Linked DNA regions of Macaca mulatta. The protein of the gene in region 2 interacts with the protein of the main gene of each other region in a biochemical or structural test. Links are inferred from orthologs where the notes say so. Each region holds a gene or a part of one and is shown on either strand. Other genes may lie near its edges.

Region 1 (3,650 bases), on a different chromosome or scaffold from region 2:
ATACAGTAATAAAACTTTGAGATTGTTTTCCTTTTGTATTTTTCTCTCTGAATTTTTTATATTTTCTTTTTATGAAGATAATCAATTAAAAAATAAGCATAGGATGAATGGACCTTCTTTTAGTTAGACACTCAACTTTTATTTCATAGGGGTCAGTAACTAAATACAGTATGTTACTTTAAAAATCTCACACCGGGTGTGGTGGCTCACGCCTGTAATCCCAGCACTTTGGGAGGACGAGGCAGGCGGATCACGAGGTCAGGAGATCGAGACCATCCTGGCTAACATGGTGAAACCCCGTCTCTACTAAAAATACAAAAAAATTAGCCAGGCATGGTGGCGGGCACCTGTAGTCCCAGCTTCTCAGGAGGCTGAGGCAGGAGAATGGCATGAACCTGGGAGGTGGAGCTTGCCGTGAGCCAAGATCACGCCACTGCACTCCAGCCTGGGCAACAGAGCAAGATTCCGTCTCAAAAAAAAAAACCCAAAAAAAACTCACACCTGCAATGAAATCAGTATATGTGTTATTCTGTCCCCTGTAAATGAATTCCTGAAGTACAAACATAGGGAAAATATACCATCTGGCCTTTACAATTCTTCATTTACCTCCTGAACTGTCTCCATAGGCGGTGGGGGATCCTTATTCCTGCAGAGATTGACAATGACCCATGTGACGTTCCGAAGGAAGGTGATGGGAATGGAGGGATTGATGAAGGACAGAAGAGGTTTGACAACTCCCAGTGATATGACATAATCTCTACATTGAGGACCATCACCTACAGAAATGAAAATTGTATTTAAAAAAAACTTACATTCAGGATGAGAAAGTCTGAAATGTATGCAATGGCTCATGTGGGAACACTGACGTTCTATGTTTCCTCACCATTAGTCAAAGGCATCAAATGTTGTTTCTCCAGATTTTGATTTGGGGAACATAAATTTAACCTACCAATGCTAACAGCAAATTGTATATCCTTTTCAAAGAGTATCATCTTAAGTTAGTACTTATGAAGCAAGAAGAGAGTCAACCCACATTAAATTCAGAGGAAACATAGTATGTAATGGCTATGCCAATGTAGGAAAAAAGTTAATTTAGATTCTTAACAGGATTCCTTTCAAACCACTTACCTATAATGTTTCCCAAAGCCCATACTGCTTGTTCACAAACATTCTGATGTGGTGAATGAAGAAGTCTCAGAAAAAGAGGTACTGCATCTGTTATAAAGAAAAACTAATATTTATACTAGCAACATGTTGAAGAGTTTACAGATTTCAGCTCAAAGAAATTGATCAAATACAGAGCCCGGCATATTGTAGCTGCCCAATTATAGTTTGCTGGAAGAACAAATGTGGCAAATATCTTTACCCTAAAAATAATCAATTTCAGTATTTTCCCCTAGTAATATTTAAGTAGTTTTTTTTTTTTTTTGCTGTATCTGTGTATTACTCCTGGGTTCACGTCATTCTGCCGCCTCAGCCTCCCAAGCAGCTGGGACTACAGGCGCCCGACACCACGCCCGGCTAATTTTGTTTTTGTAGTTTTAGTAGAGACAGGGTTTCACCGTGTTAGCAAGGATGGTCTCGATCTCCTAACCTCGTGATCCACCCGCCTTGGCCTCCCAAAGTGCTGGGATTACAGGGGTGAGCCATGGCGCCCGGCCTTTGTTTGTTTTTGAGACAGGGTCTCACTCTGTCGCCTAGGCTGGAATGCAGTGTGCAATCTCGGCTCACAGAAACCTCTGCCTCCTGGGCTCAAGCGAACCTCTCGCCTCTGTCTCCTGAATAGCTGGGGCTATAGGCACACGCGCCACCATGCAAAGCTAATTTTTTAATATTTTGTAGAGACACGATTTTGCCATGTCACCTAGGCTGTTCTTGAACTCCTGAACTGAAGTGATCTGCTTGCCTTAGCTTCCCAAAGTGCTGGGAGTAGAGGCATGAGCCATCTGTGGGTCTGGTGAGAATGGTATTCTCAATACATGATTCAATGTAACTTAGTGCCATATCACATGCTACTTAAAATCACCTTGATTACCACACCTAAAGTTAGCTAAGTGTCCCATACTATAAGAAACAACATACGTGGTGATATCTAGTACTTTTCTAAAGAGCTTGTGTCAGTTTCATTTAACAATAATTATTAGCACACCTTGAGGAAAGTAAAATTTAAAATGTCATAAGCTAAAAGGCAGAAGCCATTCAGCATCCTGAAGATATCAGAAATGGAAATTTAAAATCCTGTTATCACAGCATGATGTCTACTCCAAAAGATAAAACTCTACTCTTCTTTTAGTAACCACAATTAAAATTTTTTCATGATAGATTAATAATGGCTATGAAAAAGATATTGGTCATCAAAAGTAACTTATAAAAGTCATCATTTAAAAAATATTACAAGATAAAATTTATTACAAAATTCTACTTCCTTGCCATCATTAAAAAATAAAAAGTTCAGACAATAAGGAATTTACTTACTAGACTGCACAACAGCTTGAGTCTGTGCAGAAGTTCCTGATGCTATGTTAGTTAATGCCCAAGCAGCTTCAAACTGTAATGAAGGACTGTAAAAAAAAACAGTAAAACATCTTTTTAGACACTAACTACCACTTAAATTCATGACTCTTAAGACTGATATGATATGGCTATCCTTTGCCTTGTCCTTGAATTTCACCTTGTTATAATCCAACTGCCTGCTAGCCATCTCTACTTTTGTTTTTGTTTTTGTTTTTTTGAGATGGAGTCTCGCTCTGTCACCCAGGCGGGAGATGCAGTGGCACATCTTGGCTCATTGCAATCTCCGCCTCTGGGGTTCAAGCAATTCTCGTCTCAGCCTCCCAAGTAGCTGGGATTAAGGTGCACACCATCACACCTGGCTCATTTTTGTACTTTTAGTAGAGATAGGGTTTCACTATGTTGGCCAGGCTGGTCCTGAATCCCTGACTTCAGGTGATCTGCCCACCTTGGCTTCCCAAAGTGCTGGGATTATAGGCAAGTGCCACTGCACACAGCAGCCATTTCTACTTTAAAAATCTCTTTGACCTCCAAAGCCAGTCACTATGAACCTGCTTCTTTATGTCCACTGGTATTATAACATTCAGCCAGTCATTATTTCCCTTGACTTTGACTTCCTCTCCAGACACATCTAATCAATATATCATGTCAATTTTACCTCTTAAACATTTCTTACATTTATATAATCACCCCTAATATCAAGTGCTAGTTGAGGCCCTAATCATCTCACTTTAACCACTATCACAGGCTCTAGGCTGGTCTTAAAGCTAGAACCCCATCTGTCTCCATTACACCATCTGCTTTACATACTAGGGATATTACAAGGCTGTATAATTTTGTTGAAAAAACAAGATCACTATATTTTTGAATAGTGATGGAAGACCTCACAAAGAAAGTGGCAACTGAACTAGCTTCTCAAAGATGCGTTTAAAAAGAAAGGCAGTGACAGCTGGAAATAAAAAAGGTATCATGCATGGAAGGATCATGATGTGTAGGAATGATAAGGATTAGATCAAGAGAGCTGAAACTAACTAAGAAGCAAATAACAGGGTGTTTGTGCATGTGTGTGTGTGTTTTAGGATGGGAGTGAGGAGTGTATTCCACAGATACGCTAAGGATGGGGCATTGCAAAGGGGAGG
Region 2 (4,362 bases):
TCGTCGAGCATTAGCATCAATAGCAAGCCACCTCTGCTGATATTGTGCCTTGATATCTGGATCTTTAGATGTCAAAGAGTTCTTGATTTGTAGACCAGCTGCAACTCTGGCAACCTGACTATTTCCTGGATTTGCCAGCACTCTGGACAGTTCCACAAGGAAAGTGGGCTGTTAAGGGAAGATAAATTTGTAAATAAAATTATCTTGGGAATTTCCACAACTGAGAATAATTTATGGAGCACTGAACCACCGGAGGAGGGGTGAGGTGGGGGGGGGAACTAATGTCTAATTTTTTTTTGGTATATCATAAGCATCTCAGGAAACCACAAAATACCTACTACAAGACTTCTATAAAAATGTTACTTAGTATATAACAGGAAGTCTTCCACCTTTCTCATGGAGCCTAGCACTTAATGAGGAATTGCAGATTTTCCTATCAAAATCATTCCTAGTACCCAAATTGTCACGTTATACTCCCTGAATTGCAAGGTTTTAGAGTATGGTAGTAGTTAGTCTTCTGTGTATACCGAGGTGTCCCAAGAATTCTTAATAATGTCTGGTACTTGAATGAATGGCTGTTACGATGCGGGTAGAAAATAAAACTGTTTATCTAAATTTCAAAAACCTTGGTCCCAAAAGAATGATCCAACTTTCCATCTCATGGCAGCAGCAGGGTAGCTTTTCATCCCATGGAAGGAGGTGATCTTTTATGAGAGAGGGAAATATAGATAAGCCTAAACAAACTTAGGAGCCTCATCCTCCGTTTTATTTGTGGGCACTCAGCAAAAAGGGAACAACGAAAAAAGCAGATTTACAAGGAAAATTGGTAAGATATTTAGAAATAGGGAAAAAGTGAAAGAAAAAAATCTTCAGGCAAGCTGTTCAAGAAAAATAACTTTGTATCTAATAATCAACAATTACTTGCTCCTATACATTTGGACTTTAGTTGAGGAATACAGTGGATCCCTGAAAAGCATGTTCTTTTGTAACCTTTTGTAATCCACAGGCCTCAAAAACTACTCCCTTTGTTTAAAAATTTAACACACACACCTCTCTCTCCAGCAAAAAAACCGTGCCCAAACAGCAAAGTTAGCAGGAAAAGCCAAAAGCAGATACATTTTTCTTACTGCTAACAAGTTCTGCAATCACAGCAGAAGATAATTCTTAAAAGTTTTATTAATTATGTACCACTAAAGAATGTTAAGAATGTTAGGAATAAGATAAAAAGCTTCTTGCAAAATTAGCAAAAGCAGAAACAGGAATAATACCCTAAATGGAATTATCAGCCTATACTAGTGGAAAAATCTATTCTAGGAAAGGATAAACAGGTTAGTTGTAAAAATTGGCACATATGAAGAACAAAAAAAAAATCATTCAAAGGCAGCCTGTATAAAATAAGCCTTGTCACTTTGTTGATGTTGACATTTTGCCTATATAACACAAAGAAACACATATGGTTACAATGTTATTCAGACTTATTTCCTATTACCTTTCTCAAAGATGTCAAGCATCATCCAATCCTTCCCTCTGACCCCATCTCCCAATAGGAGATGGACACCAAAGAGAAACTTAACTGGCATCTAGGCTGTTTCAACCAATCCATCCTACATTTTTATACAAAGGACCAGTCTCTAGCGGACTTAGCTTCATTTTCTCCGGACCCCTTAAATTTTAAAATATGAAAAACGAGTAACTTTCCTCTGTGATTTCATCAGGAAACAGGCCCGATCTCAAAGATGAGCCTCAGACTGTTGTCTGGGTGCAGATCCCTAGTGATTAGGTTTCTATTCATCCAGGTCAGAAGGAAAGGAAAAAAAAAAAAAAGGAAGAAAAAGAAAATACCCCGAGAGGAATAACCGGGCAGAAGAGGGAAAAATATTAGTGGAAATGGGTTAAGAGGCAGTCGGGTGCCAGGCCTGGCCATGAGCACACACCAAGGTAGCGAGGAAAGGGCAGAGCTCTAGGAAATAGGTGGGGAGAGCCACAGGGGCCACGGGACAGGAAGGATAAGCCGGCCGGGGTCAGACAGGGAGGGCACCCGGGCCCAGAGCTTCCACATGGCCCCTAGGCCTGACTCCCCCACCCCCACCTCTGCTGAACACGCAGCGCCGCGCAACCTAACTTCCCTTCCCTCCCTCTTTCTCCCTCCCGCTGCACCGCCGCCCTCAGGCCGCGCAATGATTGGGCGACAGGCAGCCCGGCGCGCCCCGCCATTGGCCAGTCGCAGGGCCCGGGGCGGGACACACCCACCGGCTTCCCGATGGCGGGGTTAGGTTGGACCGGGTTGGGGGGGAGGGGGACGGGATGGGGCGGGGTAGGTTCCCGAGGCCTGGGCCTCCCGGAGGGCGGGAAGGCCCCGCACGCAGGGGATGGGGACGCGGCGGGATGGGCGCGGCGGGGTAGCACGCACCAGGTTCTCCACGGCCGCACGCTCCAGGAACTTCTGCGCCGCTTCCAGCTCCAGCCGATCTGGGGGGAGGAAAGTGGGAGACGGAGCGGGGTCAGAGGGGCCGGGCCTCCCCTCCCCCACCCCAATCACCTCAGCCCGACCCCCGGCTCCTGCGTCCTACCGGGAGACACGGTCTTCTCGAGGATGGTGATCAGCTCCATGGCGGAGGTGGCGGCGGCGGCGACTCCTCCTAAGACGACGGCCCGGCCTTTCGGGCGGCGGCTCGAACTGGGGATGGGGGTTGGGGGTCGGGTGGGAAGGGAGGGTGGGGTGGGGGGCGGGGGTCACCACAAGCCCATTCACCGGCTCTTTCTGGGTAGTCGCTCCAGCTCCCCTTAGTCTCTTCTTCTCTTACTTCCTCCCTCCGAATGGGCTGCTGGCAGCGGGGGAGGGACCCCGGGGGCAGCTCAGAGCGCGCTGGTGCTCGGGAGGCGGAGGGAGAAAGAAGGAAGAGAAGCTGTGAGTGAGAGGCGGCACGCAGGGAGGGAGCGAGGGCGGGAGGAAGGCGGAGGGATATTCGGGCCGGACCTCGCCGCGGCGGCGCCGCGCTCCACGGCGATTGGCCGCTGTTCTGGCCACGCGGAATCCCCAATTGGCCAGGCGCTCAGCGTCGAAAGGCCGCCTTTCGCCCATTCGCCTGCTGGTTTCAAGGCCCGGGTGGCTGGGCGGGCAGGGGAATGGAGCGCCCTAATTGGCCGAGGGGAGGGAGATTGGGATGGGGCCGGAGAGAGCCCGCCGCTGATTGGGTTGGGCTTGGTAAAGGCCTTGAGCTCAGACCGGCTGAGCGCCGAGGAGGGTGGACCGAAGGCACGACTCGGAGCCTGCGCGATTGGCTGGGATAGTGGGCGTTGATAGGATAGGGTGCCTGGGAGAACTGGGGAGAGGAGTTCGGGGTCGGGGCGCGGGAAGGCGGGAGGCGCCCGGCTGCCCTCGGAGCCCGGCGCGGGGCACGATGGGACGCCCCCGGGAAGAGGCGGAGCTGGGTTCGACCGCTGGGGCTGCGGTTGGGTAAGCGCCGTCGCTCCGAGGGGCGTGTTGAGCGAGGCTTTCGCGGGCGTGAGCGGGGGAGGGGGGACCGTTGAAGTCCTGCGCCGCGCCCGCAGGAAGCTGCTTTAATGGCTAGGTCGGCTTGGTACCCTGCTCTTGGCTGGGACGGATCCGTAAGGCCATGTGGCTCCACTTGAAATGTGTAGATGTGGAAACTGAAGCCCAGAGAGGGTATGGAACTTGCCCAAAGTCACACAGCCGGTTAGTGGCTTGGTAAGGAATGGGTTCAGGAGCCTAGAGGGTATGGAACTTGTCCAAGGTCGTACAGCTGGTTAGTGGCTTGATAAGCTCAAGCTCTCCTGACTGCCGTTGTCCCTACAAGCAGCTTTCTCTCCAAGGAGTCCCCTAGGCCTGCTTATATAGGGCTTGAGACCTGTACTAAGTCTGACTTGCTTAGGGGTGAGCTAAGGGAATCCTACACTTAGACACCCCATCCTTGACAGAATGGAAATGCTTCACCCTGTAAAGGCTCAACCTCGAACCAGAAAGAATGTGTGTACAGGCATAAAGGATCGTGGTTCTTGACCTGTTTTAGTTCTGAACTCCTGAAGAAACTCATGAATGCCTTTTCTTAGCAAAATGCATATAAAGAAAATGTGGGCCGGATGCGGTGGCTGATGCCTGTAATCCCAGCACTTTGGGAGGCCGAGCGGGGCGGATCACGAGTCGGAGACCATCCTGGCCAACATGGTGAAACCCCGTCTCTACTAAAATACAAAAAAATAGCCCGGCGTGGTGGCGCATGCCTATAGTCCCAGCTACTCCTGAGGCCGAGGCAGGACGATCTCTTGAACCCTGGAGGCAGAGGTTGCAGTGAGCCGATATTGCGCTCCGTCTCAAAGAAAAGAAAAAAATGTGCATACAGT

What was found.
Region 1: the proteins of KPNB1 (region 2) and KPNA3 form a complex in vitro, tested with the Homo sapiens proteins (2 studies listed by BioGRID and IntAct, with this or other methods). The link is inferred for Macaca mulatta from reciprocal best matches to the Homo sapiens genes KPNB1 and KPNA3.

Annotation. Positions count from the first base shown.
Region 1 is NC_133422.1:28,953,954-28,957,603, forward strand, and holds part of KPNA3 (importin subunit alpha-4), read right to left. Parts: intron 2,562-3,650; coding exon 2,476-2,561; intron 1,216-2,475; coding exon 1,129-1,215; intron 777-1,128; coding exon 607-776; intron 1-606. UniProt on the Homo sapiens protein: Functions in nuclear protein import as an adapter protein for nuclear receptor KPNB1. Binds specifically and directly to substrates containing either a simple or bipartite NLS motif.
Region 2 is NC_133421.1:62,381,961-62,386,322, forward strand, and holds the start of KPNB1 (importin subunit beta-1), read right to left. Parts: upstream 2,951-4,362; 5' UTR 2,611-2,950; coding exon 2,571-2,610; intron 2,470-2,570; coding exon 2,411-2,469; intron 2,153-2,410; exon of another isoform or gene 1,490-2,152; intron 169-1,489; coding exon 1-168.